Linked DNA regions of Stegostoma tigrinum. The protein of the gene in region 1 binds, or shares a complex with, the protein of each later gene. Links are inferred from orthologs where the notes say so. Each region holds a gene or a part of one and is shown in the gene's direction. Other genes may lie near its edges. The genes, in order: txnl4a, smx5, lsm4 and lsm3.

What was found.
Region 2: txnl4a (region 1) and smx5 share a complex: the UniProt entries of both Homo sapiens proteins name them as parts of the precatalytic spliceosome. The link is inferred for Stegostoma tigrinum from reciprocal best matches to the Homo sapiens genes TXNL4A and LSM2.
Region 3: txnl4a (region 1) and lsm4 share a complex: the UniProt entries of both Homo sapiens proteins name them as parts of the precatalytic spliceosome. The link is inferred for Stegostoma tigrinum from reciprocal best matches to the Homo sapiens genes TXNL4A and LSM4.
Region 4: txnl4a (region 1) and lsm3 share a complex: the UniProt entries of both Homo sapiens proteins name them as parts of the precatalytic spliceosome. The link is inferred for Stegostoma tigrinum from reciprocal best matches to the Homo sapiens genes TXNL4A and LSM3.

The regions. Positions count from the first base shown.
Region 1 is NC_081358.1:44,278,054-44,286,348, reverse strand, and holds the start of txnl4a (thioredoxin-like protein 4A), read left to right. Parts: upstream 1-5,248; 5' UTR 5,249-5,358; intron 5,359-6,911; 5' UTR 6,912-6,943; coding exon 6,944-7,096; intron 7,097-8,295. UniProt on the Homo sapiens protein: Plays a role in pre-mRNA splicing as component of the U5 snRNP and U4/U6-U5 tri-snRNP complexes that are involved in spliceosome assembly, and as component of the precatalytic spliceosome (spliceosome B complex).
Region 2 is NC_081387.1:26,628,370-26,636,584, forward strand, and holds the start of smx5 (smx5), read left to right. Parts: upstream 1-4,929; 5' UTR 4,930-5,028; coding exon 5,029-5,031; intron 5,032-8,215. UniProt on the Homo sapiens protein: Plays a role in pre-mRNA splicing as component of the U4/U6-U5 tri-snRNP complex that is involved in spliceosome assembly, and as component of the precatalytic spliceosome (spliceosome B complex).
Region 3 is NC_081383.1:1,023,398-1,030,575, forward strand, and holds the start of lsm4 (U6 snRNA-associated Sm-like protein LSm4), read left to right. Parts: upstream 1-3,911; 5' UTR 3,912-3,921; coding exon of another isoform or gene 3,922-3,924; 5' UTR 3,925-3,989; coding exon 3,990-4,007; exon of another isoform or gene 4,008-4,039; intron 4,040-5,620; coding exon 5,621-5,662; intron 5,663-7,178. UniProt on the Homo sapiens protein: Plays a role in pre-mRNA splicing as component of the U4/U6-U5 tri-snRNP complex that is involved in spliceosome assembly, and as component of the precatalytic spliceosome (spliceosome B complex).
Region 4 is NC_081364.1:2,888,987-2,896,851, forward strand, and holds the start of lsm3 (snRNA-associated Sm-like protein LSm3), read left to right. Parts: upstream 1-4,709; 5' UTR 4,710-4,790; coding exon 4,791-4,811; intron 4,812-7,865. UniProt on the Homo sapiens protein: Plays a role in pre-mRNA splicing as component of the U4/U6-U5 tri-snRNP complex that is involved in spliceosome assembly, and as component of the precatalytic spliceosome (spliceosome B complex).

The DNA.
Region 1 (8,295 bases):
CCTTAGTGTCACCTGCAAATTTACTAACCCATCCTTCTACGCCCTCATCCAGGTCATTTATAAAAATGACAAACAGCAGTGGACCCAACACCGACCCTTGTGGTACACCACTAGTAACTGGTCTCCAGGATGAAGATTTCCCATCAACTACCACCCTCTGTCTTCTTCCAGCAAGCCAATTTCCGATCCAAACTGCTATATCTCCCACAATTCCATTCCTCCACATTTTGTACAATAGCCTATTGTGGGGAACCTTATTGAACGCCTTGCTGAAATCCATATACACCACATCAACCGGTTTACTCTCATCTACCTGTTTGGTCACCTTCTCAAAGAACTCAATAAGGTTTGTGAGGCATGGCCTTCCCTTCACAAAACCATGCTGACTATCCCTAATCAATTTATTCTTTTCTAGATGATTATAAATCCTATCCCTTATAACCTTTTCCAACACTTTACCAACAACTGAGGTAAGGCTCACTGGTCTATAATTACCAGGGTTGTCTCTACTCCCCTTCTTGAACAGGGGAACCACATTTGCTATCCTCAACATGGGTTGGATGTTTTTGACAAGCGCTAGTATCATGTAGAAAGCATTTGGGTGCAGAAGTAAGACTTTCTTACTGCAATTGAACAGGGCCTTGCTGAGATCAGTCCTGGAGTATTGCATTCAGTTTTCGTCTGCCTATGTAAGAAAGAAGGTATTTGCCATAGACAGAGTGCAGCAAAGATTCACTATGTTGATACTGAGGATAGCAGGACTGTCCTTTGCGGTTAGATTGGTTCAACTGCGCTTGTAGTCACTAGAATTTAGAACAATGAGAGGTGATCTCCTTGATAAATGTAATACTTTACCAGGGCTTAACAGACTAGATGCAGGGAGAATGTTCTCTGTGATTGGAGAGTCCAGAATGAGGGATACAGTCTCAGAATGTGGGCTAGACCATTCAGGACTGAGGTGAGGAAAAGTTTTTTTTAACACTCCAAGGGTAGTGACTCTGTGAAATTTGCTATCACAGAAGACAATGCAGGCCAACTCACTGAATATATTGAAGAAAGAAATAGATATATTTTCAGAAATCAAATGCTCCAAGGGTTAGAAGGAGAGAGCAGCATTGAAACAGAGGATCAGCCATGATCCCAATGAATGGAGGTGCCGGCTCTAAGGATCCTGCTCATAGTTTCTTTGTTTCTATGAGACGCAACATCATTTATGAAAAAGTATTTCACAGGGCTAGTCAGAGGGGCCTAGAGGAGACTTCAATAGCCGGAGTTGACAGATTGGCAAATACCTTCCAGAGGGACAGTTGAAGTCTACATTGATGTTTAATTTACTCAATGTCTGCTCGTATATTCTCATCCCAGGAATCAGTCTGGTGAACCTTAATAGCACTTCGTATAGGAACAAGTGTGTCCTTCCGTACGTTCAACTTGCATGAGCGAAACTGCCAGAGCAGGCTCTATACACGAGTTTCCACTTCTGACAGAAGTTTCACAAACAAATGCAATCGTTTCATTTCTCCACGGAGATGGGCTTAGTTGCTGCGCTGCTCTTTAATGTTCAGTTTTCATGCTTATCATTGTCATCAACATTAGCATCTTCACATTAGGTACAGCTAAGACGTGCCTTCAAACATTTCAGTGATTTATTTACAAAAGGTAAGTATAGAACACAATAAATACATGAGAAACTGAAACAGTGCCGCTGTTAAAGGTCTCATAGCTTGGTATATAGCGCCATCTAATGTTTTCAATAAATATTTCACGACATTTACTGCTAAATTCATCTATGTTCATACATAAAAGGCACTCAACATTATTAAAACCGAAAAAATATTCACAGATTGAGGGATAGAGCAGTGAGACCTTCATTTTGTTATCAGGATTCTTACTAAACCAAAATTCCAGGTGCTGTCAGGAGGGATTTTTTTAAAGAATCGTTTATCTGGAAAAGATATGAACAGACAGTGGAAGCAGATTCAGTAGTAACTTTGGTATCAGAGATAATGGGAACTGCAGATGCTGGAGAATTCCAAGATAATAAAATGTGAGGCTGGATGAACACAGCAGGCCAAGCAGCATCTCAGGAGCTTTTGTGCTCCTGAGATGCTGCTTGGCCTGCTGTGTTCATCCAGCCTCACATTTTATTATCAGTAGTAACTTTGCAAGGACCACTTAGGTGCTTGAAAAGAAGAACATTTCAGAGCTACGATGAAAGAGCAGGGAGTGTATTGGTTGACTTTCAGGAAACTAGCACAAGTAGAAAGGTCCAAATGGCCTCCTCAGTGGCCTACAATTCTCTGATTCCATGATGAGGAAAAGGAAGAGGACAGCATTTATGACAATGTGGCAAAAATGTCGGATACAAAAGTGTAAATGGAACGTGGGTTCCAAATTAGATGGGATAAAAGGGCAAAAAGCTGAACTGAGATACTCAGGCTGTGGGAAAGCTGAAATATATATGGGTGATAATAAACATAGGGAGTTAAATAAAATGAAAATGGCAATGAATGGTGGATATGTGTTTCTCTGTGTGGTTAAGCCCTAAGCATTCTTGACTCCATTCTGATCAATTGCGATCTAACCTCCCCTCATAATGCCAATGTTATCTCCTAATATAAATAGTCCTCTTTTTGTGGATACAATTGCCCTCCATTTTAAAACTGTCAAAATCATATCCATCCTAAAAAAAAACTACTTTACTGTCCTTGGAAGCCACACTATCACCAATCTCTCTGCCTATCTCCAAATTTCTTGAACCTCCCAAATATGTGCCTATTTTCCGACAAATCTGTAGTTTTGGCTCTCAAATTAGATTTCTCCTGATCACAGCACAGAAATGGCCCTAATCTGTGAATGTGAATATCTTAGTCCTCCTCATTCATCTCAAACTGGTTTGTCGCTTTTATCTTCAGCTTATTGTTAATCACCCTCCACCATACACGTGCAAAAAAGTTAGCTTTTCCACCTTGGCATAATTACCTCTGTGCAGACACTGAGCCAGATGATCGTTGATCTAGGAATGGCAAAGCAAGGGCACCCATGACTGACCTCAAAGAGGAGTGCCAGTAAAAATCCAGAACTCAATTTAACAGTTCACATTGCTTTGGATAGTGCTGAGGCTCTTGAAATGCTGTTGGACCTGCAACCAACCAGGCAAGTGGGGAGTATTTCAGCATGCTGCTGACTTGTGCGTTGTAGATGGCTGGGAGGCTTTGAGGATTCAAGAGGTGAGTTACGTGCCACAGAATTCTCAGCCTCTCACCTAGTTGGTATTTATATGGCTGGTCACAAAGCCTCTCCTAAAGTAGATCAATTAAAAATTTTTAAACCAAATTTGACAGGCTTTTCTTAGAAGAGGGTACAAAGGGTTATGTAAATGGAGTTAATATATAAATTAGAATAAAATCGGGGTCAATTCCCATTTTGGGTGGGGTGGCTTCACAACCTGCTTTCTTGCTCTGCCTGGGGAGGGAGGAGGTGGGTGAGAGATTGCTGTGCTGTGGTCAGATCTGCTTTTGTATGGAGAACTTAAGGATAAGAATGTACGGATCAATCACAAAGTCATTTAATGATGGATTAGGTTCCTGAGGGTGAATAATCTCCTCCTGATACCATGTTTCCTGTACAATCAAGAGGAAACTGATCCTAACCATGCCAGATCTGTGCCACACATTAGCAGACTGCACTCTAACAAAATGGAGTAAACTAAATTATGAGCAAGCATATTTTTCTTTGAACCTTGGGCCACTGCAGATGGGCAAATTTATCATGCTCAGCAGAATTTCCTTTTGAATAAGAAAAACAGCAGTCCCTATGAATTTCTCTAACCCTAACCCAAACTCTAATTTCTTGTTCTGGATGAATCATGCCCTCAAATTAAAAGGATTGTTGCTATTAGTACCAACGTGAGATGAGTTACAATCTACAACATCTTCCATTGGGGTCTGCAAATTTGAATTAAAGCTAAGCACTTTAAAATAGGAACAAGTTCTACTGTGTTTTCTTACTTGGTGATGAACTGGAATGAGGTAGGATGGATAGTAGCACATAGTCATAGTAGATGAACCAGTTTCCCAGCATTCAAAGTTATATGTAAAGTCATTGCACAACTGAATAAATCACATTCAGAGGAATTTTGATTTTCATGAGAACCATGGAAAGAATTCTGATTGCAATTTAGTGAAGTTATTTTGTCCCAGGACATAGATGATTACCACCACAAATCCATTATTGTTTCACAAAAACACATACAAGTCTGGCATCCAGCTGTGTAAGTGAAAATGATGAAATGAAGGACCCATTAGCATTTTAACCGGTCATCGTATATCACTCAGCTTGAAAAAAACTGCTTCAAATTTTATTTTTCAGCAAGGTATCTAAAAATATTTGCCGATTAAAGGGAATCCAATCTATGACAATCATATTCAGCTACTTTGTCAACAATGCCCAAAACTAGAGGGCATAGGTTTAAGGTGAGAGGGAAAGGATTTAAAAGAAACCTAACGGGCAACTTTTTCATGCAGAGGGTGGTGTGTGTCAGCAATGAGCTGCCAGAGGAAGTGGTGGAGGTGGGTGCAATGATCACATTTAAAATGCCTCTGGATGACTTCATGAATAGAAAGAGTTTAGAAGGAGATAACAAAGTGTGGAGCTGGACGAACACAGCAGGCCAAGCAGCATCTTCGGAGCACAAAACCTAACATTTTGGGCCTAGAGAGTTTAGAAGGATATGGGCCAAACGCTTGCAAATGGGACTAGATTTATATAGGATATCTAGTCAGCATGGACTCTATCAATGTTGCCATCAGCCTTCCAGCATCATTACCTCTGAATCTGAGTGTTTGAACATCTTTCCAAATCCCTACACTGACATATGCAATACTGAGGCAGTGCTGCACTGTCTGAGACGCCATCATTTAGTTGAAACATCAACTCTTGCTTGGATGTAAAGGATTCGGTGCCATTATTTGAAAGAAGTGTTATCTCCCATATCCCAAACAATATTTATTCCCTGAGCTCATATTACAAAAGACAAATCGTCTGGACATTATGACGGGGCAGTGGGCTTGCCGTGTACAAACGCGCTGTTGCATCCCTTGCACTTGGCTGCCCTCCAGTGGTGACAAATTGCCAGTACATTGCTACAAGGTCCGCCACAATGCAACCTGTCACTTCACCGGCAGAGGGACACGGGGAAACATCGCGAGGCTTTCCCCATTGGCCCAGTGATCCCGCGCATGCGGCCCGTCCCCTTACCGGCGGTCGCCATCTTGGTTGTCAGAGGCCCTGCAGCCGGAGCTGGGGCCGGGGTGAGGCGCCCTTGCTCGGTGTCATTCCCGGGGATTGGTGTCTGAGGTGAGCCCGCCTAATACACACAAACACACTCGCTCCTGTTCAGTCGAGTATTTCCAGCGATACAGATGAGGCAGGTTTACTGTCTCTGACTATTCCCCCCCACATAACTCTCAGTCATTCAGATACACACCGGGGTTACTATTAAACACCATCAGTTAGCTCTCAGGGGGTTGGTTGTTTAAGAGTTTCTTTCACCTCCGCTGTCCGCCTGTCTTTTTTCCTGGTAAAGGAAGAGGCAATTACCCGCCATGGTTACTGAGTTGATTCAGGGCACTTTGTAAACTTCACTGTCACTCCTGGATCGCTGGAGGCCTTCTAACTCATTTAACTTTCTAATTAACCCGTTCAGAGGTGTCATCGCACGCCTTGTGGCACAGGGCCAGGGGAATTCTATCCGGTCCTCCAGGCCCAGAGGTTAGGGCCCTATAATAACCCCTGAAGGTGGGCTTTTAGAGTAAGAGAAATGACACCATTTCTCTTCCCCCTCCATCCTCCCCAATTAAATCAAAATAAAAGTGACCACTTGCCCTTCTCAAGAGGGACATTGCTGATTGTCACCACAAAACAAAGATCATTTTTAATCAACTTTGGTGTTTACATCCATCTCAACTGTCCAGCCCACTCCAGTTTCATTGATATCAGACACTGTAAGCAGCCCCTCAGAAACATGATCGAAAGCCATGAAAGTTTGCCAGGTGACAGGAATGAGTGCTGAGGAATCGCCCAAACTTAATTCGTGGAGATTTCTGTATTTTGTAACTTGTAGCCTCTGCAGAAATATGACCAAAGAATATGCAATATGATAGAGAATCAGTTGGTTACTGTTTGAAAACTTAAAAGTGGATTGTTGCTGTTTCATTCCTTGGAATTGGAACATGTGTTTTCAACGACAATGTTACGTTTTGTAAAATGCAGACTTCATAGCGATTCTAACCAATTTGATTAACATATAGCACGGAACAGTAAGGAGGTTATATTCTATAAGTATTATGTAGGTTATGAGTTATAAATGAACATGTATTTCCAATCCTTCAGAGGCTCCCTCACCCCGACATAAATGATTGCTGTACTCCTTTCTTCAGGTGTCTTGAGCATCCCAACATTGACTCCTCCAACAGCTTGTGACTGTGCCTTTGGCTGCCAAGGCCCTAAGCTCTGGAACGCCTTTCTTAAACCTCTCAGTCACTCTTCCACACACCTCCCTTCCTACTTTAAGACTTGCTTTGAAACTTGCCCTTTGAACAAGGTTTTGGGCCTAAGTACTAAAATCCCTCTTTATGTGGCTTGGTGGCAGACTTTATTTTGTCATATTTATGGGAAGTTTTACAGGGTCAAAAACAATCAAAATACAGGTTGTTAATTGCTTTACAACCGTCATGATTCTGTTTTTTAAAACCTCCAAAGGCCCAAGCTATTATTTATTTACGTCAGTCTGCCCGAGTCTTAAGAACTGTACTATTTCTGTGAGCACAGAGCTTTTATTCATAAGACTAACATTTTTCTTTCTAGTCTAGAAGTGGTTTAACTCATTTTTTTGGTTTTGTCATATAAAGGGGTAGTAGAAATAGTGCAACTCTTTGCCGCAATGTCGTATATGCTGCCACATCTCCACAATGGCTGGCAAGTAGACCAGGCCATCCTGTCAGAGGAGGATCGTGTCGTTGTCATTCGCTTTGGTCATGATTGGGATCCAACTTGTATGAAGATGGATGAGGTCTTGTATAGTATTGCTGAAAAGGTAAGCCTTCATAAACATCAGCAAGTGCACCCAGCGTTAGGTAAAGTTGTATTCGGTTAAATACAATGTTAGAACTATATAAATTTCTTCTATTCATTTGTGGGATATGGGCATTGCTATTCAGGCAGCATTTATTGCCCATCCCTAGTTTCCCTTGAAAAGGTGGTGTTAAGATGCCTTCTTGAACTGTTACAGTCTATGTGCTGTAGGTTGATGCACAATGCCCTTAGGGAGGGAATTCCAGTATTTTGGCCTAGAGACTGAAGGAACAGCAATATATTTTCTCATCAGGATGGTGAGTGGCTTGAAGGGAAATTTTGCAGAGCGTAGTGTTCCCATTTTTCTGCTGCCTTCGTCCTTCTAGAAGGAAGTGGTTGTGAGTTTGGAAGGTGCTGTCTGTGGATCTTTAGTGAATTTCCACAGTGCATCTTGTTGATAGTACATGCTGCCACTAAGTGTCGGTGGAGAGAATGGATATATGTTGATGTGCTGATCAAGTGGGCTGCTTTATCCTGAATGATAAAATGTTGCAGCTGCACCCATCCAGGCAAGTCAGGAGTTTTCTGTCACACTCCTGACTTGTGCCTTTTAGTTGATGGATAAGTTTTAGGAAGTCAGGAGGTGAGTTACTCATCACAGTATTCCTAGTCTCTGATGCTGTTGTAGCCACTGTCTTCATGCGCAAGTCCAGTTGAGTTTGTGTTCAGTGGTAACCCCCGGGATGTTGATTGTGGGGGATTCAGTGATGTAATAACATCTCTTATTGGAGATGGTCATTGCCTGGCATTTCTGTGGTGTTGAATACTACTAGCCACTTGTTAGCCCCAGCCTGGATATTGTCCAGATCTTGATGCATTTGAACATAGTTTGTTTCAATATCTGAGAAGTTGCAAATGGCGCTGAGCATGGTGCAATCATTGGCGAACATCCCTGTTTCAGACTTTATGATGGAGCGAAGGTCATTGTTGAAGCAGCTAAAGATGGTCAGACCGAGGACACTACTCTGAGCAAATCCTGCAGAGATGTCCTGGAGCCATAAACATTTTCCTATGTGCCTGTTTTGACTCCAACCAGCAGACAACTTGCCCCCAGATACCTACTAATTCAACTTTTGCTAGGGCTCCTTGATGCCACACTTTGTTAATATGGCCTTGAAGTCAAGAGCTGTCACCTCACCTCTAGAATTCTGTTCTTTTGTC
Region 2 (8,215 bases), on another chromosome or scaffold:
GGTTGGACTGGTTTTGGGATGTAGTGGGTGGGGGGGGGGGAAGAGCTGGGCTGGTTGTGTGGTGCAGTGGGGGGAGGGGATGAACTGGGCTGGTTTAGGGATGCAGTGGGGGAAGGGGAGATTTTGAAACTGGTGAAGTCCACATTGATACCATATGGCTGCAGGGTTCCCAGGCGGAATATGAGTTGCTGTTCCTGCAACCTTCGGGTGGCATCATTGTGGCAGTGCAGGAGGCCCATGATGGACATGTCATCAAGAGAATGGGAGGGGGAGTGGAAATGGTTTGCGACTGGGAGGTGCAGTTGTTTGACATTCCACATTAAGCAGAGGTTCACCTGCACATCTGCCAATGTGGTATACTGCATCCACTGTACCCGGTGTGGCTTCCTCTACATTGGGGAAACCAAGCGGAGGCTTGGGGACCGCTTTGCAGAACACCTCCGCTCGGTTCGCAACAAACAACTGCACCTCCCAGTCGCAAACCATTTCCACTCCCCCTCCCATTCTCTTGATGACATGTCCATCATGGGCCTCCTGCACTGCCACAATGATGCCACCCGAAGGTTGCAGGAACAGCAACTCATATTCCGCCTGGGAACCCTGCAGCCATATGGTATCAATGTGGACTTCACCAGTTTCAAAATCTCCCCTTCCCCCACTGCAGCCCTAAACCAGCCCAGTTCATCCCCTCCCCCCACTGCACCACACAACCAGCCCAGCTCTTCCCCCCCACCCACTACATCCCAAAACCAGTCCAACCTGTCTCTGCCTCCCTAACCGGTTCTTCCTCTCACCCATCCCTTCCTCCCACCCCAAGCCGCACCCCCATCTACCTACTAACCTCATCCCACCTCCTTGACCTGTCCGTCTTCCCTGGACTGACCTATCCCCTCCCTACCTCCCCACCTACACTCTCTCCACCTATCTTCTTTACTCTCCATCTTCGGTCCGCCTCCCCCTCTCTCCCTATTTATTCCAGTTCCCTCCCCCCATCCCCCTCTCTGATGAAGGGTCTAGGCCCGAAACGTCAGCTTTTGTGCTCCTGAGATGCTGCTTGGCCTGCTGTGTTCATCCAGCCTCACATTTTATTATCTTGTTCACTAATATGCTGTGTTTCCTGTCCATGCTGCCATTGTCCCTTTTAGTTTATGGGTTGCAACTTGGCATGTAATCTTGCTATTTGTCCCTTTGTCAAATGCTGTCTGGAAGTTTATGAACACCACATCCACAGTAACACCCTCATCAACCCACTTTCTGACCTTATTTAAAAAGAAACAGATTAATTGACATTTCACCATTAACAAGATCATGCTGATTTTCCCTAACTTATCCAAGTTAATAATATGTCCCATATTATTATTATAAAGTAAGTGTAAGTGTATCTGTGGAATTCTTTGCTGTAGAAAGTTGTCAAGGCTGTATCATTAAATGTATTCAAAGAACAATACAGCACAGGAGCAGGCCCTTTGGCCCTCTAAGCCTGTGCCAACACATTTTGCCCTTCCTCACTAAAGACGTCTTCACTTACAGGATCTATATCCCTTTATTTTCTTCCCATTCATGAATCTGTCCAGGTGTTTCTTGAATGCTGCGATTGTATCTGCTTCCAACAACTCCTCTGGCGACATGTTCCAGGAACTCAACACCCTTTGTGTGAAAAAGTTGGTTTGCACGTCTCTTTTAAACTTCCCCCATCGCCCCTTGAACCTGTGTCCCTAGTAATTGACCCCCTCCACCCTGGGAACAAGGCCCACACTTTCCACTCTACCCCTGCCATTCACAATCTTATAAGCTTCTATCAGGTCACCATCCAACCGCCTGCATTCCAGTGAAAACAATCTTAATCTATCAAATTGTTGTTCATTGCTAAAATCCCCCATATCAGGCAACATCCTGGTAAATCTTTTCGGTACCTTTTCCAAAGCATCCATATCCTTCCGGTGGCGTGGTGAACATAAATGTACACAATACTCCAAGTGTGGTCTTTAAAGTTCAATAAAGCTGCAACATAACTTGCCCATCTTTGTACTTAATGCCCTTTCCAATGAAGGCAAACATGCCAAAGGCCTTTATTATTACCTTAGCTACCTGCCCTGCCACCTTCAGTGATCTGTTGATGTGCACACCCAGATCCCTCTGCATACCAATTCCTGAACCTAAAGGTTCTGCCGTTCATTGTATAATTTCTACCTGTATTTGACCTTCCAAAGAGCATCGCCTCACATTTTGCCCAGATAAAATTTTTCTGCCCATGCCTCCAAATGATTTATATCCTGACGTATCCTCTGATGATCCTTCTCACTATCCACAACTCCACCAATCTTTGTATTGTCTGCAAAGTTATTAATTGGATCAGCTATTTGCATAGACCACAACTAGCAGAGGACTCAGAACTGATCGTTGAACACCACTAGTCACAATCCTCCATTCCAAAAAGCATCCCTCCACCGTTTCCTTCTGTCTCCTATGATTGAGGCAGTTCTGCATCCACCTTGCCAGCCCACCCTGATACTATCTGACTTCACCTTTTGTACCAATCTGCCACAAGGGACCTTGTCAAAGGCTTTACTGAAATCCACACGGACAACATCAAACGCTCTTTCCCCATCAATCATCTTTATCACCTCCTAAAAACACTTGATCAAGTTAGTGAAGCACGACCTCCCTGCAAAACCATGCTGTCTATCGTTAATAAGTCCATTTGCTTCAAAACGCATTTATATTTTGGCTCTGAGACTTTTCCACTAATTTCCCTACCACTGATGTAAGACTCATAGCCTGTAATTTCCAGGATTATCCCTGTTACCTTTCTTAAATAATGGCACAACATTGGCTATTCTTCAGTCCCCTGCGACCTCAACTGTGCCCAAAGATGTCCTTCAATGCTTTAGCAATTTTTTCCCTGGCCTCCCTCAAGGCTGAGATAGACAGGATTTAGTCAGTAAGGGAAAGAAGGGTTATGGGAGAAAGGTAGATAAGTAGTTGAGGCTTATCAGATCAACCATGATTGAATTGAATGATGGAGCACCTTGATGGGTCAAATGGTGTAATTTTACTCCTGCATCTTAATGGGTAAGCCTTGCAACTTTGCTCTCACGTCACCCTTTTTCATGATGAGGATTGGGCCTCATTACTGAATACTGATGTTGACTTCCTGCTTAATAAACTCTCCTTTATCTCCCTAAAACATGCCTGCTGAATCTGAATCCTCATTTACGTCTGTTGTTGGTACCTATATGAACTATGATCTCCAGCTGATCAACCCCCATTTCACCATGTTTGCAACTGCCTAGTGACATCCTGCATCCTTACAAAAGAAAGGCACTCTGACATCCTGGAGTAACATCTGTGGGTGAAAGAAAACATTCTATTCTCTGAACTAAGACGCTTCCACCACTATCACACATCCTGTCTTCTTCTTTCCCTTGACAACTGAGTCACATATGATGCCGTGACCTGTCTCACTGTACTTTCCAGGAAATGTATCACTTCAGCAGTATTCTGAATGAAATCCTGGTCAGGCATGAACACAGAACTGCACAGCACAGGAATGGGCCCTTCAGCCCACTATGTTGTGCCAAAAAGGACACCAAATGAAACTAATCCCTTCCTGCCCTTGAAAAATATCCCACCATTCCTTGCATATTCATGGGCTTATCTAAAAATCCTATTGCCTCTATTGTATCTGCCTTCACCACCACCACACCTGGCAGTACATTCCACCCCAGTGCAAGATAAACAGATGTGGGATTGACGATGACGAGGAAGAGTGAGAGTAGAAGATGACGACAAGATGGAAGGTTTATGATAGGCTGGAAGGCAGCAGAAATCAAATGAAGAAAAGGATGATGGTACATGGGGTACGCTAAAATTGGGGTGACAATTAGGTGTGAAAATGCCAAAGGTGTGTGGTGAAAGGATATAAATCAGCATCAAATGGCATTTAAAAAAAGATTTTTAAAGTTACAAAATGGAGTCAAAAGCTATGATCAGAAATTTCTGTGTGATCTTACAAACTGCCTTATTGAAAGATGAGATAGTAAGAACAGTCAATGCTGGTGTCAGAGGCAGTAAAGGAGTAGGAAAGTTGATGTTTCAGGTCAGGACCCTTCTTCAGAAATCCAGAAATTCTGAAGAAGCATCCTTACCCTAAAAAAAATCAACTTTCCTACTCCTCTGATGCTGCCTGGCCTGCTGTGTTCCTCCAGCTCCACACTGCGTTACAATGAAAAGGTAAGTTGCCTAATCTTCAGTTTGCATTCAGCCTCACAGGGAAGGTGCATTTCATCTCTTCAACCATCTCACAGGCATTCTCTCTTGTTCTTTCCTCTAATCTCCTCTTGCTCTGCCCCTGTACTTGCAGCAAAGTTGTTGCATCTCTAGCTTTATCCAGTACTGGATGAAGAGTCATCAGCCTGAATGATTAGCTTTGTTTCACTCATTGAGTCATGAAAGGACAGGAGGTGGCCATTCCATCCATTTAATCCACGTTAGCTCTAGTACAGCAGCCTTATCAATCTTGTTACTCTGGTCTATCCCAGCATCCCTGCTGGTGTATTTCTCTCAAGTGTTCACAGAACTTTTGAGTCAAACTCATGCAGCATGGAAACCGACCCTTTGGCCAATTACAGGGCGACCAGGTTTCCTAAACTGAACTCTACCTACCTGCACTTGGACAATATCCCTCCTAACCACGTACCCGTCCAAACGTCTTCTAAATGTTGTCATTGTAACTGTATTCGCCTCCAGCAGCTCAAACAACATGTACACCACCCTCTGCGCGGGAACGTAGCCCCTCGAATCCCTTTTAAATCTTTCCCCTCTCGCCTTAAGCCCAATGTGCAGCCGGATGAATACTTCCAGCCGCTTGGCAGGCTGGTAGCACGTCAATCAAACGAAAAGGCGGGAACACAGGTGACACAGTGGGCAGGGATCGGCGGAATTCTCGCGATATCGGGCGGTCCGTCCGCGCGCAGGCGCCGCGGGTTTGAACCGGTTTGACTGGGAGCTGCCGTCATTGTCGGTGCCATGGTGAGTGAGAGAGGGTCTGAGAGAGACCGGGCCCGGGGGGGAGAGAGAGTCTCACAGGGACCGGGCCCGGGGAGGGAGAGAGAGTCTCACAGGGACCGGGCCCGGGGAGGGAGAGAGAGTCTCACAGGGACCGGGCCCGGGGGGGAGAGAGAGTCTCACAGGGACCGGGCCCGGGGTGGGGTGGTGAGGGAGAGTCTTACAGGGACCGGGCCGGGGGGGTTGAGGGAGAGAGTCTCACAGGGACAGGGACCAGGCCGGGGGGCAAGAGTGAGTGAGTGAGGAGGTAGGAAGTGGAGGGATAGGGACGGAGATAGAGTGTGAGTGACTGTCTCACAGAGACCAGACCGGGGGACGGAGTAGAGAAGCAGGTTGAAAGACCCTACGGTAGGCTATTGCATAAAATGCGGAGGCATGTGATTGAGGGTGATTTAGCGGTTTGGATCAGAAGTTGGCTAGTTGAAAGAAGACAGAGGGTGGTAGTTGATGGGAAGTGTTCATCCTGGAGACTAGTTACTAGTGGTGTACCGCAAGGATCTGTTTTGGGGCCACTGCTGTTTGTAATTTTTATAAATGACCTGGATGAGAGCATAGAAGGATGGGTTAGTAAATTTGCAGATGACACTAAAGTCGGTGGAGTTATGGAGAGTGTGGAAGGATGTGGTGGGTTACAGAGGGACATTAGATAAGCTGCAGAGATGAGCTGAGAGGTGGCAAATGGAGTTTAATATGAAAAAGTGTGAGGTGATTCACTTTGGAAGGAGCAACAGGAATCCAGAGTACTGGGCTAATAGTAAGATTCTTGGTAGTGTGGATGAGCAGAGAGATCCTTGTGTCCATGTACATCGATCCCTGAAAGTTGCCACCCAGGTTGATAGGGTTGTTAAGAAGGTGTACGGTGTGTTAAGTTTTATTGGTAGAGGGATTGAGTTTCGGAGCCATGAGGTCATGTTGCACGTGTACAAAACTCTGCGGCTGCACGTGGAGTATTGCTTACAGTCCTAGTCGCTGCATTATAGGAAGGATGTGGAAGCGTTGGAAAGGGTGCAGAGGATATTTACCAGGATGTTGCCTGGTATGGAGGGAAGGCCTTATGAGGAAAGGCTGAGAGACTTGACGCTGTTTTCATTAGACAGAAGAAGGTTAAGAGGTAACCTAATAGAGACATACGAGATGATCAGAGGATTAGATAGGGTAGACAGTGAGAGCCTTTTTCCTCAGATAGTGATGGCTAACATGAGGGGACATAGCTTTAAATTGAGGGGTAATAGATATAGGACAGATATAGAGGTAGGTTCTTTACTCAGAGTAGTAAGAGCGTGGAATGCCCTGCCTGCAACAGTTGTAGACTTGCCTAAGTTTAAGGGCATTTAAATGGTCATTGGATAAGCATATGGATAATAATGGAATAGTGTAGGTTAGATGGGCTTCAGTTTGGTTTCACAGGTTGGCGTGACATTGAGGGCCGAAGGGCCTGTACTGCGCTGTAGTGTTCTATGTTCTGTGTTCTAGACAGAGCCCTATAGTGATGGTGAGGGGTGGGGGGTGAGAGGGGGAGGGGGGGGAGAGAGAGAGAGAGAGAGAGAGAGACTGTGTGTGTCTCATTGGGTGAGTAGGAGAGAAGGATGGAAGGAAGAGTGGAGAGTTTCACAGATTGGGGGAGGGAAGGAGAGACACAGAGGAAAGGGGGAGGGGAGGGAGAGAGATAGTAAGGAGGCAAGAGAGAGCGCGAAGAGAGAGATTGGGTAAAGGAGAAGGGTGGTGGCTGTGCTGGTCATTCCCACATTCCATTTAAAGAATTTTTAAAAAGCAACTTAATGTCATAACCATTTGACTCAGTCAAGCGCAGGAAGTTGTTGAGCTTTGCCATAGAACATAGAAAAGTACAGCACAGTACAGGCCCTTCAGCCCACGATGTTGTGCCGTGGAATAATCTTAATCCAAAAATAAAATAACCTAACCTACATTCCCCTCAATTCACTGCTGTCCATGTGCATGTCCAGCAGTCACTTAAATGTCACTAATGATTCTGCTTCCACGACTACCACTGGTAAAGTATTCCATGCGCTCACAGCTCTCTGGGTGAAGAACCTCCCTCTGACGTCTCCTCTGTACCTTCCTCCTAACACCTTAAAACTATGACCCCTCGTGGCATTCAATCCTGCCCTGGGGAAAAGTCTCTGGCTATCGACTCTATCCATGCCTCTCATTACCTTGTACACCTCGATCAGGTCACCTCTCTTCCTCCTTCTCTCCAGAGAGAAAAGTCCAAGCTCAGTCAACCTCTCCTCATGACAAGCCCTCCAGTCCAGGCAGCATCCTGGTAAACCTCCTTTGCACCCTCTCCAAAGCCTCCACATCTTTCCTATAATAGGGCAACCAGAACTGGACACAATATTCCAAGTGTGGTCTCACCAGGGTTCTGTAGAGCTGCAGCATAACCTCGTGGCTCTTAAACTCGATCCCCTTGTTAATGAAAGCCAAAACACCATATGCTTTCTTAACAACCTTATCCACTTGGGTGGCAACTTTGAGGGAGCTATGCACTTGAACACCAAGATCCCGCTGTTCCTCCACACTGCCGAGAATCCTGCCTTTAATCCTAAATTCAGCATTTAAGTTCGACCTTCCAAAATGCATCACTTCGCATTTATCCAGGTTGAACTCCATCTGCCATTTCTCAGCCCAGCTCTGCGTTCTGTCAATGTCTCACTGAAGCTAGCAATAGCCCTCGATACTATCAACGGCACCTCCAACCTTTGTCATCAGCAAACATACTAACCCACCCCTCAACCTCCTCATCCAAGTCATTTATAAAAAGTACAAAGAGCAGAAGCCCAAGAACAGAGCTCTGCGGGACACCATTCAGCACTGACCTCCAGGCAGAATACTTACCATCTACAACCACTCCCTGCCTCCTGTCAGCCAAATCACCCTGTATCCCATACCTCCTGACTTTATGAATGAGCCTGCCGTGGGGAACCTTATCAAATGCCTTGCTGAAGTCCATGTACACCACGTCCACTGCTCGACCCTCATCAACCTGTCTCGTGACTTCCTCAAAGAACTCAATAAGATTTGTAAGGCATGACCTGCCCCCCTCAAAGCCATGCTGACTCCCTTTATTCACACATGATCCAACAAAGTTTTAAATTTAGCTGTTTTGATTACACAAGAATTCCTGAGC
Region 3 (7,178 bases), on another chromosome or scaffold:
TCTGTAACCTCATGGCCCGGCATATCCCCAGTCAACCATTACCAACAGGCCAGGGATCAACCCTGGCTCAATGGAGGGTGCAGGAGGACAGGCCAGGAGCAGCAGCAGGCATACCTGAAGATGAGGTATCGACCTGGTGAAGCCACCAAACAGGGCTACTTGCATGCCAAACAGTGAAAGCAGCAAGTGATGGATGGACCTAAGCAATCCCACAACCAACGGATCAGATCTAAGCTCTGCAGAGCTAGAAGTCCATCCCTGAGAGCATTATGGGTCAACCTACAGCAGGAGGACTGCAGCAGTTCAAGGCCACCTAGGAATGGGCAAGACATGCTGGCCAACCAGCGACACCCATATCCCGTAAATGAAGAGAAACAAAATGGTCCTCAGAATGAGGGACTTTCGTTTGTGGAGTAGAGAAGCAGAAAAGCTCAAGGAGATTAAATAGAGATGTTCATATTGGGTTTTGATGGAATAAATAAGGAGAAGTTGTTTCCAGTGCAGGAGGTTAGGCAACCAAAGGGTCACATTCAAAGTAATTGGCAAAAGAATCAGAGGGGAAGATGAGAACATTATTTTCGTTACAGTTGCAACATGGAATGTGCTTTTAAAAAGCTAGTGTAAACAGACTCCAACGTAATGTTTGTCACAGTACAAATAAATACCTGAAAATTAAAGATAACAAAGTGTGGAGCTGGATGAACACAGCAGGCCAAGCAGCATCTGAGGAGCATAAAAGCTGACGTTTCAGGCCTAGATCCTTCATCACCCTTTTCTGATGAAGGGTCTAGGCCCGAAACATCAGCTTTTGTGCTCCTGAGATGCTGCTTGGCCTGCTGTGTTCATCCAGCTCCACACTTTGTTAACCTGGATTCTCCAGCATCTGCAGTTCCCGTTATCTCTGGTCAGAAAATTAAATATTTGCAAGGCTGTGAGGCCTTGAACAATCTGGACAGCTCCTCAAAGACCTGGAAGTGCTATGATGGGCTGAATGGCCTCTATTTGTTCTGAGTTTCTACAGTTGGTGCTCCAGGACTTTTTACTACACCTGAAAGTGTGATATAATTGCAAGTTGTCATTGAGTAAGAATGTGGAGAAAAGCTTGTGCAATGCTCCCTAAGGTTTCATTGGCACCTGCCCTGAGCAAACAATCCTGGAAGGTACCACCTCTAGCAAGTGCCTTTGGGACAGGAAGAAAGCATTAATACAACATAGATATAGAAGGAACTGTCGATGCTGGAGAATCTGAGATAACACAGTGTGAAGCTGGATGAACACAGCAGGCCAAGCAGCATCAGAGGAGCAGGAAAGCTAATTCTGTTTTACTAACGTGTGTTTGGGAATTAAAGACTACCAACAAGTTGTATTTAGTATGTTTAATCACATGAAACACTTCAAGGCACTTAAATTTACAGGAGCAGTGTTGGGAAAATGATGGCCTTGTGGTATTAGCACTAGACTATTCATGCAGAAACTGAATGCTCTGAGAATCCAGGATCAAATCCCATGGTGAAATTTAAAATGCATTTTTAAAAAGTCTTAAATTAAGGGCCGACTGATGACTATGAAACCGTTGCCAATTCTTGGGCAAAAACCCACCTGGCTCGGTAATGCCTTTTAAGGAAAGAAACTGTCATCCTTTCCTGGTCTGGCTTATGTGTGGCCTTGGACCCAGAGCAATGTGGTTGACTCTGGGCAAACAGGGATGGGCAATAAATGCTGCCCTTCCAAGGTTGCCCTCATCCTGTGAGTGATTTTTAAAAACAAAAAATTATACTATCATATGTAGAAATATTTTAAGGCCGGATGACCTACAGCTTTTGGTCAGAGTTCCTTTTAACTCAAACACAAAACAAGGGCTGGGCCAGCATTTAAAGAGTAATTTAACGTGGGAGAGTGGTCAAGAGACAGGGAAGCATTTCCAGAGCTCACAGGTTAAACAAACAGCGATGGGATTATGTCAGAAATCACACAGCAGCAGGTTCTGGTGCAACAGGTTTATTTGAGCCTCAGTCCTTCAGACGTTAGTGAAAGAGGTAGCATCAAACACAGAATTTATAAGAGATCAAAGATCACACCACTGTTCAGGATCTATTAGACAAACCGCATGCTGCTAAATCTTCAATCAGTTCAGAGGGTTTATAATATGTACATATTATATATTTCCATATCAGTATACATACACAGACGAAATCTTTAGTCAGTTAGGTTTTAGCCGGGGGGGGGGGAAGCAGGGAGGAGGGGACCGGGGGGGAGGGGGGTGCGGGGGGGGGGAGGGGGGTGCGGGGGGGGGGAGGGGGGTGCGGGGGGGGGAGGGGGGTGCGGGGGGGTGGACAGGGGTGCGGGGGGGGGGAGAGGGGTGCGGGGGGGGGGAAGAGGGGTGCGGGGGGGGAAGAGGGGTGCGGGGGGGGAAGAGGGGTGCGGGGGGGGAGAGGGGTGCGGGGGGGAAGAGGGGTGCGGGGGGGGGAAGAGGGGTGCGGGGGGGGGAAGAGGGGTGCGGGGGGGGAAGAGGGATGCGGGGGGGCGAAGAGGGGTGCGGGGGGGTGAAGAGGGGTGCGGGGGGGTGAAGAGGGGAACGGGGGGAAGAGGGGTGCGGGGGGGGAAGAGGGGTGCAGGGGGGAAAGAGGGTTGCGGGGGGGAAAGAGGGTTGCGGGGGGGGGGAGGGGTGCGGGGGGGAAGAGGGGTGCGGGGGGGGAAGAGGGGTGCGGGGGGGAAAGAGGGTTGCGGGGGGAGGTGGAGCAGGGGGCAGGGTGAGGTGGAGCGGGGGGAGGGGGCAGGGGAGGGGAGGGAAGCAGGAGGGGAACGGGGGGAGAGGAGCCGGGGTGGGGAGGGGGGAGCGAGGGGAACGGGGAGGGGGAGCGGGGGGGGGAGAGGGGAGCGGGGGGGGAGAGGGGAGCGGGGGGGGGAGAGGGGAGCGGGGGGGGGGAAGAGGGGAGCGGGGGGGGCGGGGGGGGAGAGCAGTGGGAGCAGGGGGAGTGGGGAGAGTGGAGCGGGGGGAGCGAGGGGAAGCGGGGGGGGGCAGGGGGGGGCAGGGGGGGGAGCCGGGAGCTGGGGGAAGGGGAACAGGAGGTGAGCGGGGGGAGAGGGGAGCAGGGGGAGAGGGGAGTGGGGAGCGGAGGCAGAGGGGAGCGGCGGCAGAGGGGAGCGGCGCGGGGGGGGAAGGGGGGAGCGGAGAGTGGGGGGGAGGGGAGAGCGGGGGGGGAGGGGAGAGAAGGGGGGAGGGGAGAGAAGGGGGGAGGGGAGAGAAGGGGGGAGGGGAGAGAAGGGGGGAGGGGAGGGAGAGAAGGGGGGGAGGGAGGGGAGAGAAGGGGGGGAGGGAGGGGAGAGAAGGGGGGGAGGGAGGGGAGAGAAGGGGGGGAGGGGCGGGGGGGGGCAAGGGGGGAGGGGCGGGGGGGGGCAAGGGGGGAGGGGCGGGGGGGGCAAGGGGGGAGGGGCGGGGGGGGCAAGGGGGGAGGGGCGGGGGGGGCAAGGGGGGGAGGGGCGGGGGGGGCAAGGGGGGGAGGGGCGGGGGGGCAAGGGGGGAGGGGCGGGGGGGGCAAGGGGGGAGGGGCGGGGGGGGGCAAGGGGGGAGGGGCGGGTGTGGGAAAGAGGGAGCTGGTTGGAGGGGGACGGCGGCAGATGGAGCCCGCGGGGGGAGGGGAGGCGGGATGGGGGGTGTGAGGTGGGGACGGGATTCGGCGCCAAGTGCTGGGCTGTTCCTCCTACGAAGGCCCCACTTTACGCCAACTATTGCGACAGCAACCTCAGTACGGGGCGCCACCTCTGGTCGCTGCCATCTCTGATTGGCTGTGTCTGTGGCCGCGGCTGCTGATTGGGGAAGACAACCCGTCCATCAGGCTGGCGGGGCGGGGCTAGGCCGGAGCCGTAAGTTGGGTTGTCGCAGCCGCGGCGGGAGGAGCGGGAACCAGAGACGGAGACAGAATGGTGAGGGTGAGGGCCGCAGGCTGAGCCTGAACAGGCTGCAGCATTGGACGCTGAGGGGTGACCTTATGGAGGCTTATAAACCCGTGAGAGTCATGTGTAACAGAGAATAGCCAAGGTGTTTCTCCGGGGGGTTTAAGGTGAAAGGTTTAAAGGTCTCGAATGTCAGCTTTTTCACACTGAGTGGGGTCTGAGGAAGTGGAGGAGGCTGGTACAGCCATAACATTTAAAAGGCATCTGGATGGGTACATGAATAGGAAGGGTTTAGTAGATAATGGGCCAAATGGGACTAGATTAATTTAGGATATCTGGTCAGCGATAGGCAAGTTTGATCGAAGGTAAGAGATAACAAGGTGTGGAGCTGGAGGAACACAGCAGGCCAAGTAGCATCAGAGGAGCAGGAAAGTTGACGTTTCGGGCTGAGACCCTTCTTCAGAAATGGGGGAGGGGAAGGGGATTCAGAAATAAATAGGGAGAGAGGGAGGCGGATAGAAGATGGATGGGGGAGAAGATAGGTGCAAAGGAGGCAGACAGGTCAAAGAGGTGGGGATGGAGCAAGTAAAGGTGAGTGTAGGTGGGGAGGTAGGGAGGGGATAGGTCAGTCCACGGAGGGACGGACAGGTCAAGGAGGTGGGATGAGGTTAGTAGGTAGCTGGGGGTGCGGCTTGGGGTGGGAGGAAGGGATGGGTGAGAGGAAGAACCGGTTAGGGAGGCAGAGACAGGTTGGACTGGTTTTGGGATGCAGTGGGTGGGGGGAAGAGCTGGGCTGGTTGTGTGGTGCAGTGGGGGGAGGGGACGAACTGGGCTGGCTTTGGGATGCAGTGGGGGAAGGGGAGATTTTGAAACTGGTGAAGTCCACATTGATACCATTAGGCTGCAGGGTTCCCAGGCGGAATATGAGTTGCTGTTCCTGCAACCTTCGGGTGGAATCATTGTGGCACTGCAGGAGGTCCATGATGGACATGTCATCTAGAGAATGGGAGGGGGAGTGGAAATGGTTTGCGACTGGGAAGTGCAGGTGTTTAGTGTGAACCGAGCGGAGGTGTTCTGCAAAGTGGTCCCCAAGCCTCCTGTTTCTGTGCTATGTATCTCTGTGACTCTAACGGGGGTTGTGGGGAAAAATGATTGAACGTGTCGTTATAGAGACATATGGGGGGGGGCGCGGTGGAGAAGGATGGTTGGTGAGGGAGGAGAGAATGAATCAGTCGGGAGAGCAGGTGAGAGGAGAGAAGATGTTGATGTTGAGCTTGGTGGGGTGGTGTGCTGTGTGGGTCTTAATTATACCGATATACCAGGACATTGTCGGGGAATGAGGGAAAGGGGCAATTGGGCAGGAATGTGAGAATGTGAAGAATATCCCTGACTCCCAGCCTCCCTTTGGTGTGGGGTGAAAGGAGGGAACCCATGTGCTGCTGCTTTTGTAATCTGAGCGCTGTTGATGGATTTCCCACTCTGAGACCTGTACAGTCAGTCCTAATTCTATCCCTTTCCAGCTTTAATCCTGGAGGCAAGGGTCGTGCTGATTGTAGCTGTACTTCCCCACCCATTTTAAAAGAGCTTTTGTTTTTAGTTTTTATATTTAGTTGTAACTCTTACGTTCTGATTTATAGTGGGGATGTTATCCACATTAGCAGTAATTGTTTTGACAAATTAAACTTTCTTCTCAGATTTAATCAAATGTTTTTCTTCTTTATTTCAGCTGCCCCTTTCATTACTTAAGACGGCACAGAATCATCCAATGGTAAGAGAGGCTGAGAGAATGCCTGCATTTTGCTCCATGATTGGTCCAGGCAGGGCTCCCACTTTGGCACATGGACTGTTTGAGCTCCTCAGTGATTCAAGCCTACACTTGTCGCTCCCTCAGCCAGCAGTCGTTTTTTTCCACCTGAGTGTTTGACAACTTGTGTTATTTTTAAAGAGTAAGTTAGCAATCATGGCAAGTAATTTTTATACTGAAATGCCTTAAACCCCCAGTCTCTGCCTGAGTGCTACTTCTCAGCTTTAATATAACTGAACAAGGGGACAAGTGTATGCTGTGGAGTCTGTCCCAGTATTCTATATTTGGCTAATTGTCGCCTTTGGACAGGTTTCATACATGTTTTTAGTGCCTCCCAGACAAGGGCCTTTGAACAGTCCCCTTAAATGTTTACACTTCTCAAAGTTAAGAAATATTCTGCCTTGACTTTTGTCTACCAAAGTGAATAGCTTAAATTATTGACATTATGTTCCAGCTGACACGTTCCACCCTGTGCACATAGCCTGTCCAAGTCCTCACGAAGCCTGTTTGCATTTCCACCTAATTTGGTGTAACGAGCAAATTTGGAAATATTACATCCAAATTACTTGTACAGACTATGAACAGTGTGGTCTTAGCACAGTACCCCAGTAACAACAGCCTCCCATCCTGAGATTTTTTCTGTTCACCAATTGTCAGATAATGAGGCAGTACATTTAATCATCAGTGACTTTAATGTTCATGTAGATTGGGAGAATCAAGTTGGCAAAGTGACAAAAAAACTTCATGATGTATTTGAAATTGAATCCACTTCTTCTTAGAAGCTAGCGGGGATCAGGCTTCTTCGGATCTGGTAATGTGAGTTGAGGCAGCATTAATAAATTAGCCCACAATAAAAGATACCTCCAGGAACAGTGATCGTAAAGCATTCAGTTTGGGTGCGAGAAATTTGTATCAGAAATGACTGTACTGAACTTGGGGGTAATTATATTAGAATGAGGACAGAGTTGGCTGGAGTGGTTTGGGAAAGAAGTTTAGCAGCAAAGGTGTTTGAAGAACAATGGCAGACATCTGAGAAGATAGTTCCTGGCTTTCAGCAAAGGTACTTAACCAGTAAAGGAGGAGGATTCCTGAAAGGGGTGTTATGAAGTTTTAGTAGAGTAATCGTGAGGTGGAAGGAAGGAAGCTAAAATATATTGTTCCTTGTGGTATATGATACAGTATAAGTGATTGTGGTGATGTTGTGTCTTCCTGCTGAGGCCTGTACCAGAGGTAATGGCGGATTATGCTTTTCGGATATCCATTTCTTTTGAAGGCACTGTATAGGTGCTTGTATTATACTTCGCGTTTTTCCATAGATCAAGGACATTTCAGAGATGACCACAAGAATACTCAGACCGCTAGGTATCAGAGTAGCCTACAAACCAACAACCGCCCTACAATAGTTACTGGTGAACGTAAAGATCCCATACCCAAAACCAGCAAGCCAATGTAATATACAAAATACCATGCAAGGACAGTG
Region 4 (7,865 bases), on another chromosome or scaffold:
GTTGATTTTGTCCTGGATTATTATTTCTGTACAGATTTCCCACCACCGGCTGACCTACTGTACCTGAGCTTAAGGTTTTGAAGATGTGTGTAATGTTTGTAATTTTCCAGTCTTCCGGTGTTACCCCACGTCTACCAAAGATTGGAAAACTATGCCCAGTGCTTTTGCAATTTCCATCCTTACTTTCTCAGTCGTCTTAAGCACATCTGATTGGGTCTCAGTGTCCAAAGAATTTTAAGTAGACTCAGTCCTTCTAGTAGCTCACCTTTCTCAATTTTTAGTCCATACAGAATCTCCACTTTAAGCGAAATACTGCAAATGCTGGAAATCTGAAACAAACACAGAAATTGCTGGAAAAACTCAACAGGTCTGGCAGCATCTGTATAAAGATAAACAAATTTAACGTTGAGTCCAGTATGACTCTTCTTTGGAAAAACATTACTTACATTTCTCTCTCAACAAACACTACCAGATCTGGGGAGTTTCTCCAGCACGCACTGTTTCTTTCTGAATCTCAACTCCCTCCTCTTTCACTTTGACTTGTACAGCATCTGCTTCCTCAGTAATGACAAATGTAAAATATTCATTTAATATCTCCACCATGCTCTTGCTTCCATGTGTAAATTTTATTTTGGTCCATAACTGGCCCCATTCCTCCATGTACCATCCTGTCAGTATTTATAAATTTATGTAAAACTTTTAGATTCCCTTTTATATTAGCTATCAGCCTCCTTTTTTACCTCGCCTGTGAACTTTTTATATTAAACCTGTTTCTTACTTGTATCATCATTCTGATATAAATCACATGTTCCTTTTCTGTTCCAGCTCAGATATAACATCCAGGAAACACTGGACTGGTTATTCTACCTCTCCCCCTCCTGAGAATATAACCTTGACTGTACTAAAGCTGAGATAACAAAGTGTGGAGCTGGATGAACACAGCAGGCCAAGCAGCATCTCAGGAGCACAAAAGCTGATGTTTTCTTTAAAGGCAGTTCTTCCACAACTGTTTTGCCTGCCAACCTTCAATTCCAATTTACCTGAGCTAGATCCTTTCCCAACTCACTGAAATTTTATGAAAGGAGGACTCTGTAAAATTCATTTATGGGATGTGGCCGTCGCTGGCTTGACCAGCATTTAATCGGCCGTCCTAAATGCCCTTGAGATTGTGGTGATGAGCTACCTTCTGAAACTGTTGTAGCTCGTGTGCTGTAGTAGGCGCTCAATGCTTATGTGGGACAGAATTCCAGGATTTTGACTCAGTGATACTGGAGGAGCAGTGATATGCTTCTAAGTCTTGATGATGAGTGGCTTGGAGGGAACTTAGACCATAAGACATAGGAGTGGAAGTAAGGCCGTTCGGCCCATCAAGTCCACTCCGCCATTTAAATCATGGCTGATGGGCATTTCAACTCCACTTCACTGCACTCTCCCCGTAGCCCTTGATTCCTTCTGAGATCAAGAATTTGTCAATCTCTGCCTTGAAGGCATCCAACGTCCCGGCCTCCACTGCACTCTGCGGCAATGAATTCCACAAGCCCACCACACTCTGGCTGAAGAAATGTCATCTCGTTTCAGTTTTAAATTTACCCCACCTAATTTTAAGGCTGTGTCCAACTTGGAGATGCAGCATTTAGGGGTCACTGATTGTCGTATCATTAGTTTTTACACGGTCTGGTCTCTCTGGAGGCTCAATGTTGGCATGGACTTGGTAAACAGACTATGATTCCAGTACTTTTTACAAAAACTTCTTTATTTTAGGCTGAATGTATTTATGCCAGTGACAGAGTAAAGAGAGTTACCAATTAACTATCTCTACTCTGTCGCTGACATAAATTGAATTGAATTGGTTTTATTGTCACGGGCATGTGACTGAGTGAAGTGAAAACTTTGTATTGTCACCACTTTGGCACCACCTTATGTTAGAGGAACCTAGGTACAGTTACATAAGTACGTGTTACAGACCTGAAAGAATAATAAAATGTCAGTTCATTTACATGAAAGAGTAAATAAGGTTTTTTTCAAAAACGTACTTGAATTATAGTTTTTCCACCAAGTCCGTGCCAACGCTGAGCCTCCAGAGCGCCTGGGCCACGTAAAAACTGACGATACGACAATCACTGTCCCCTAAATGCTGCATCTCCACCAGCAATTTCCCCTCCAAACCACTTATCATCAGACTTAGAAAATATTGCTGCTCCGCCAGAGTCACTGAGTCAAAATCCAAGGAATTCCATCCCAATTAAGCATCGAGACTCTACCTACAGCACGTGGGCTACAACGGTTCTAGAAGGTAGCTCATCACCACAATCACAAGGGCATTTACAATGGGTAATAAATGCTGGTCTAGCCAGCAACAATCACATCCCAAAAATGAATTTTACAAAGCCCTCCTTCAATAAAATTAGATGCACCTCATTCCCCAGAATTGAATCCATCAATGCCTTCTCCTTTGGTCTGAAATCAGACTGATACAGAACATCTGAGATAATGGGAACTGCAGATGCTGGAGAATCCAAGATAATAAAATGTGAGGCTGGATGAACACAGCAGGCCCAGCAGCATCTCAGGAGCACAAAAGCTTTTCTGATGAAGGGTCTAGGCCCGAAACGTCAACTTTTGTGCTCCTGAGATGCTGCTGGGCCTGCTGTGTTCATCCAGCTCCACACTTTGAAACAGAACATCTTCCCCCTTTCTAAGCTTCTAAAAGTGTTGTTCAGATTTGTACTTGTCAGTCACACATTGTAGCCATGGGCTCCACTTACTCTTGTCATTGCCATGGAAAAGGGTAATGCTCTCTTCCAAACTCCCCTGTCAGGCAGAAAATACTGAAGTTGAAAGCACACACCAACAGGTTCAAGAACAGCTTCTTCCCTGATGTTATCAGACTGCTGAGTGGACCTCTCAAGCCTCCAATAATGTTGGTGTTGCTTTTGTGCACCTTCTAATGTGGCTGTGACCTCCTGTGCCTCATAGAACATAGAACATTACAGCACAGTACAGGCCCTTCGGCCCTCGATGTTGTGCCGACCTGTCATACCGATCTCAAGCCCATCTAACCTACACTATTCCATGTACATCCATATGCTTGTCCAATGACGACTTAAATGTACTTAAAGTTGGCGAATCTACTACCGTTTCAGGCAAAGCATTCCATTCCCTTACTACTCTCTGAGTAAAGAAACTACCTGTGACATCTGTCCTATATCTTTGACCCCTCAATTTAAAGCTATGCCCCCTCGTGCTCGCTGTCATCACCCTAGGAAAAAGGCTCTCGCTCTGTCTAAGCAGCTTGTGATTTTTATATCTTTGTTTGCTATGATCTGCCTGTACCACATGCAAAACAAAACATTTCACTGTAATTAGGTACGTGACTATAATGAATCAAAGATAGCCTCCAAAGGTCTAGGCCCAAAACATCAGCTTTTGTGCTCCTAAGATGCTGCTTGGCCTGCTGTGTTCATCCAGCTTCAGTTTGTTACCATAGTCTCCAAATAGATCTCTTGTTGTTTGTAATCAAACTGCCTGGAGATGTAATGGCATCCTCCAGGACAGGTGGGACTTGAACATGGATCAAGAACCATTATCCCCCTCTTTCTATCCTTTGGAACATTACTACCTCTGTCTATATTTGAATGATTTAAAAAAAACATTATCTCTGGGCCATAATTTTCTACACCAATTCAATCTTCTACTATGATAAAACAAAGAATGGCATTTGCTGAAAATCTGAAACAACAGGAATTGCTGGAGAAATGTAGGGGGTCTGGCAGCATGTGTGGAGAGGAGGCAGAGTTAACATTTGGAGTCCGTGTTCTGAAGAAGGATCACTGGACTTGAAACGTTAACTCTGCTTTCTCTGCACAGATGCTGACAGACCTGCTGAGTTTCACCAGCAATTTCAATCTCCTACCACCTTGAGGCCATGAAAAGTGCTGTATAAATATAGCCCCTTTCTCAGGAGGTGTGGACTCGTTGGGCCGAAGGGCCTGTTTCCACGCTGTAGGGAATCTCATCTAATCAAGAGGTGCCAAAGCAACCACAGCTAACGATTATGAGGCCTCCAGTTCTGAGGAAGGGTCAGCGGACCCTAAACTCTGCTTTCTCCTTCACGGGCGCTGCCAGGCCTGCTGAGCTCTTCCAGCAACTTCTGCTTTCAGCTGCTGGAAAAGCTCAGCACCTGCAGCTCTTTTGGTTTTGTTCTTGATGATCATGACTCCTGCGGTGGATGGTAAAGGTCTGAACGATGGCAGAGGCTGATTGCATTGCATTTGGTTAAAAGTGTTTGTAAATTAGTCACTGCATGAAGAGGAAAAGCAACTTGAGGCATAGTTACCAGGAGGCAGCTGCTTTGCACACTTCACTGGGCCCTCTCTGACAGGTTTAGTTCTGCTGCAGTCCTTCTTCAATCTTTTGCAGGTAGCCTGGGTTGAGCTTTGGGTTTTTGACCCTTTCCTTTTGGCCATGTTCGCGCCTCCTGTAACTTGAGGAAAGGTGCAGTCAATCTCAGATGCTCTCCAGCCGCCTGTTATAAAACAGGGTTATACAACAGCAGCTTCCCCCGGAAGAAGGGGGCGGGGGGAGGTTAGAAAAGGAGGCGGAGAGATGTGCCCAGAGCTGGGCACTGATCCCCACTCTCACCTTCCCGCCGCACCGCGCACGCGCCAGTCACCCGCTCCTCCTCCTCCTCCCGGCCGCTGCGGGGCGCGGCAGCGGGAGGACCCGCTCCCCGCCGCTACCACAACGCGGTCAGCACGCATGCGCAGGTTGCAGTCACCCGGATTCAAACCATGGCGGAGGAGGGAGACCAGGTAAAAAAAACCCGGGATGGGGAATGTGAATGAGTGAGAGAAAAGAAAGAAAGAAGGAGTGAGTAAGTAGTAGGAGGAGGAGGAAGAAGGAAGGCAGGAAGGGGCGAAAAGAGAGGGAGGGTGTGAGTGTGAATAAATGAGAGAGTGAAAGGGAGAGGAGGGGGGAGGGAGAGTGTGGGGAGGGGGGAGGGAGAGTGTGGGGAGGGAGAGTGTGGGGAGGGAGAGTGTGGGGAGGGGGGAGGGAGAGTGGGGGGGGAGAGGAGGGGGAGTGAGGGGGGGAGTGGGTGAGGGGGGGGAGGAGTGGGTGAGGGGGGGGAGGAGTGGGTGAGGGGGGGGAGGAGTGGGTGAGGGGGGGGGAGAGTGTGGGGGGAGAGGAGGGGGAGGGAGAGTGAGGGGGGGTGTGAGGAGGGGGAGGGAGAGTGAGGGGGGGTGTGAGGAGGGGGAGGGAGAGTGAGGGGGGGTGTGAGGGGGGGGAGTGGGTGAGGGGGGGTGTGAGGGGGGGGAGTGGAGTGGGTGAGGGGGGGTGTGAGGGGGGGGAGTGGAGTGGGTGAGGGGGGGTGTGAGGGGAGGGAGTGGAGTGGGTGAGGGGGGGTGTGAGGGGGGGGAGTGGAGTGGGTGAGGGGGGGTGTGAGGGGGGGGAGTGGAGTGGGTGAGGGGGGGGAGTGGAGTGGGTGAGGGGGGGGAGTGGAGTGGGTGAGGGGGGGTGTGAGGGGGGGGAGTGGAGTGGGTGAGGGGGGGTGTGAGGGGGGGGAGTGGAGTGGGTGAGGGGGGGTGTGAGGGGGGGGAGTGGAGTGGGTGAGGGGGGGTGTGAGGGGGGGGAGTGGAGTGGGTGAGGGGGGGTGTGAGGGGGGGTGGAGTGGGTGAGTGGGGGTGGGGGGGGAGTGGGGGAGGGAGTGGGTGAGGGGGGGGGGAGTGTGGGGGAGGTGGGCATTTAGAACAGCTCAAGATAATTGGAAAGAGCAACCTTGGTTTTGTAACATGGAAATGAGTAGGGGGGTAGAGAGAAGGGGTGAGTGAGAGTGTGGGAGGGAGAGAGGACAGAGTGGAGAGAGAGAGTGTTGGGAGAGGAGAGAGTGGGAAAGAGCGAGAATGCGGGAGGACAAGGGAAGGGGAAATAGGGGTAGAAAGGGAAATGGCTGGGGAGATTGTGGGAGACAAGAGCCAGTAGAGAGGGTTTGGGGACAAGGGTGTTAGGTAGTGGATTGTGATTGAGAGAGAAGGGCAGGGGAGAGAGCGTGTAGGGGGAGGTGTGGGTGGAATGGGGGGACAAAATAGGAAGGGGAGAGGTCAGCGAAGTGGTTGGGGGGGGAAACAACGTGTGGGGTGAGAAGGGCGATTAGGAAGAGATCAAGGAGGGTGAGGAGATATAGGAGGTGAAAGGGCTCAGGAGAGTGAGGTGGGGATGGGGTGAGAGTAGGTGAGATACAGTAATTGTAGGGAACAGGAAGTAGGAGAGAGAGCAGGGGAAGGGAGACAGAGTGTGAGTCCTGCCCATTGTCTGAGGACAGTATTGATGGGATAGAGGTAGGTGAAAGACAGGGGGGAACAAGGCTGGCATACATTTGGGGAATTGGGTGTTGCGATATGGCAGGCAAGGCTGTTACATGCAAGGCATTGAGCAGTTTGATAGAGCTATGAGCACTCAAGATCCTGGGTTCATATGGACTTTACCCTAGAATCTTAAAACATTGGTAACGAAGTTAGTGGATGTATTGCTTTCAATTTTCTGAAATTCACTTGATTCTGAAAAGGTTCCATTAAATTGGAAAATAGCAAATATTAACCCCTCTATCCCAGAAAGGAGGGAGACAGGAAACTCGGCTTCGTGTTCTTTCATGGAAGGTGTTACGAGTTGATCATTAAGGAGGTTATAACTGGGCGTTTAGAAAAGCTCAAGATAATTGGAAAGAGCAAGCTTGGTTTTTTAAAATGGAAATCATGTTTAACAAATCTATCGAAGGTTTTAGGAATTAACAAGCTGTGGATGAAGTGGGGCTCATCGATGTACTAGACTTGGATATCCAGAAGGCAGTTTGATAAAGTTCCACAGAAAAGGAGAGCTCATGGCGTAGATAGTAAAATACTAGCACAAGGACAGAGTTGGCAGGTAGAAAAGAGTTTGCAGATTTTTTAACCAACTTGTTCGGCATATTATGACACAAATGCAGTAAGGCCTAGATAGTATCCAGGCTTGAACTGAAAAGTGGCAAGTAACATTCGCACCACACAAACGCAAGGCAATGACCATCTCCTATAAAAGAGAATCTAAACATTGCCAAAGCCCCCAAACATCATGAGGCATCGCTGAATTCTCTATTATAAACAGTCTGGGGATTACCATTACCGGAAACTCCATTAGATTTGCAAAATTAATACAGTTGTGGCACATTGGTACTGTCTGTACCTCTGGCACTGGGTTCAAGTACCACCTGCTCCAGAGGTGTGTAATGCCATCTCAGGTTGATAAGAAAATATATATGAATACATTGGCTATAAGGCAGGTCAGAGGCGAGGAATATGGCAGTGAGTAACTCGCCTCCTGACTTCTAAAAGCCTGTCCACTATCTGCAAGATCTACCATGTACTGTACTGTTTGGAGTGTGTTGGAATACTCCCCACTTGTTCGGATGAGTGCAGTTCAAACAACACTCGAGAAGCTCAACACCATCAAAGCATACCACTTGATTGGCACTCCATCCACCACTGACGCAACAGTGTGTACTTTCTACAAGATGCATTGCAGGTATTCATTGAAGATATTAAACGTAATCTTTCAAACCGATCACCTCTTAAGGACAAGGGCAGCAGATATGTGGGAACACCACTCCTGTAAGTTTCCCTCCAAGCCACTCACCTTCCTGATTTGAAATTTTTTGCTGTTCCTTCACTGTCACTGATTCAATATCTCGGGATCTCCCTTCATAATGGTGTTGCGAGTGTACCAACAGTGCGTGGAGAGATTTAAGAAGGCAACTTACTACCACTACCTCAACAGCAACTAGGGATAGGCAATAAATGCTGGCTTAGGCAGCGATGCTCATGTCCACTAGTGAA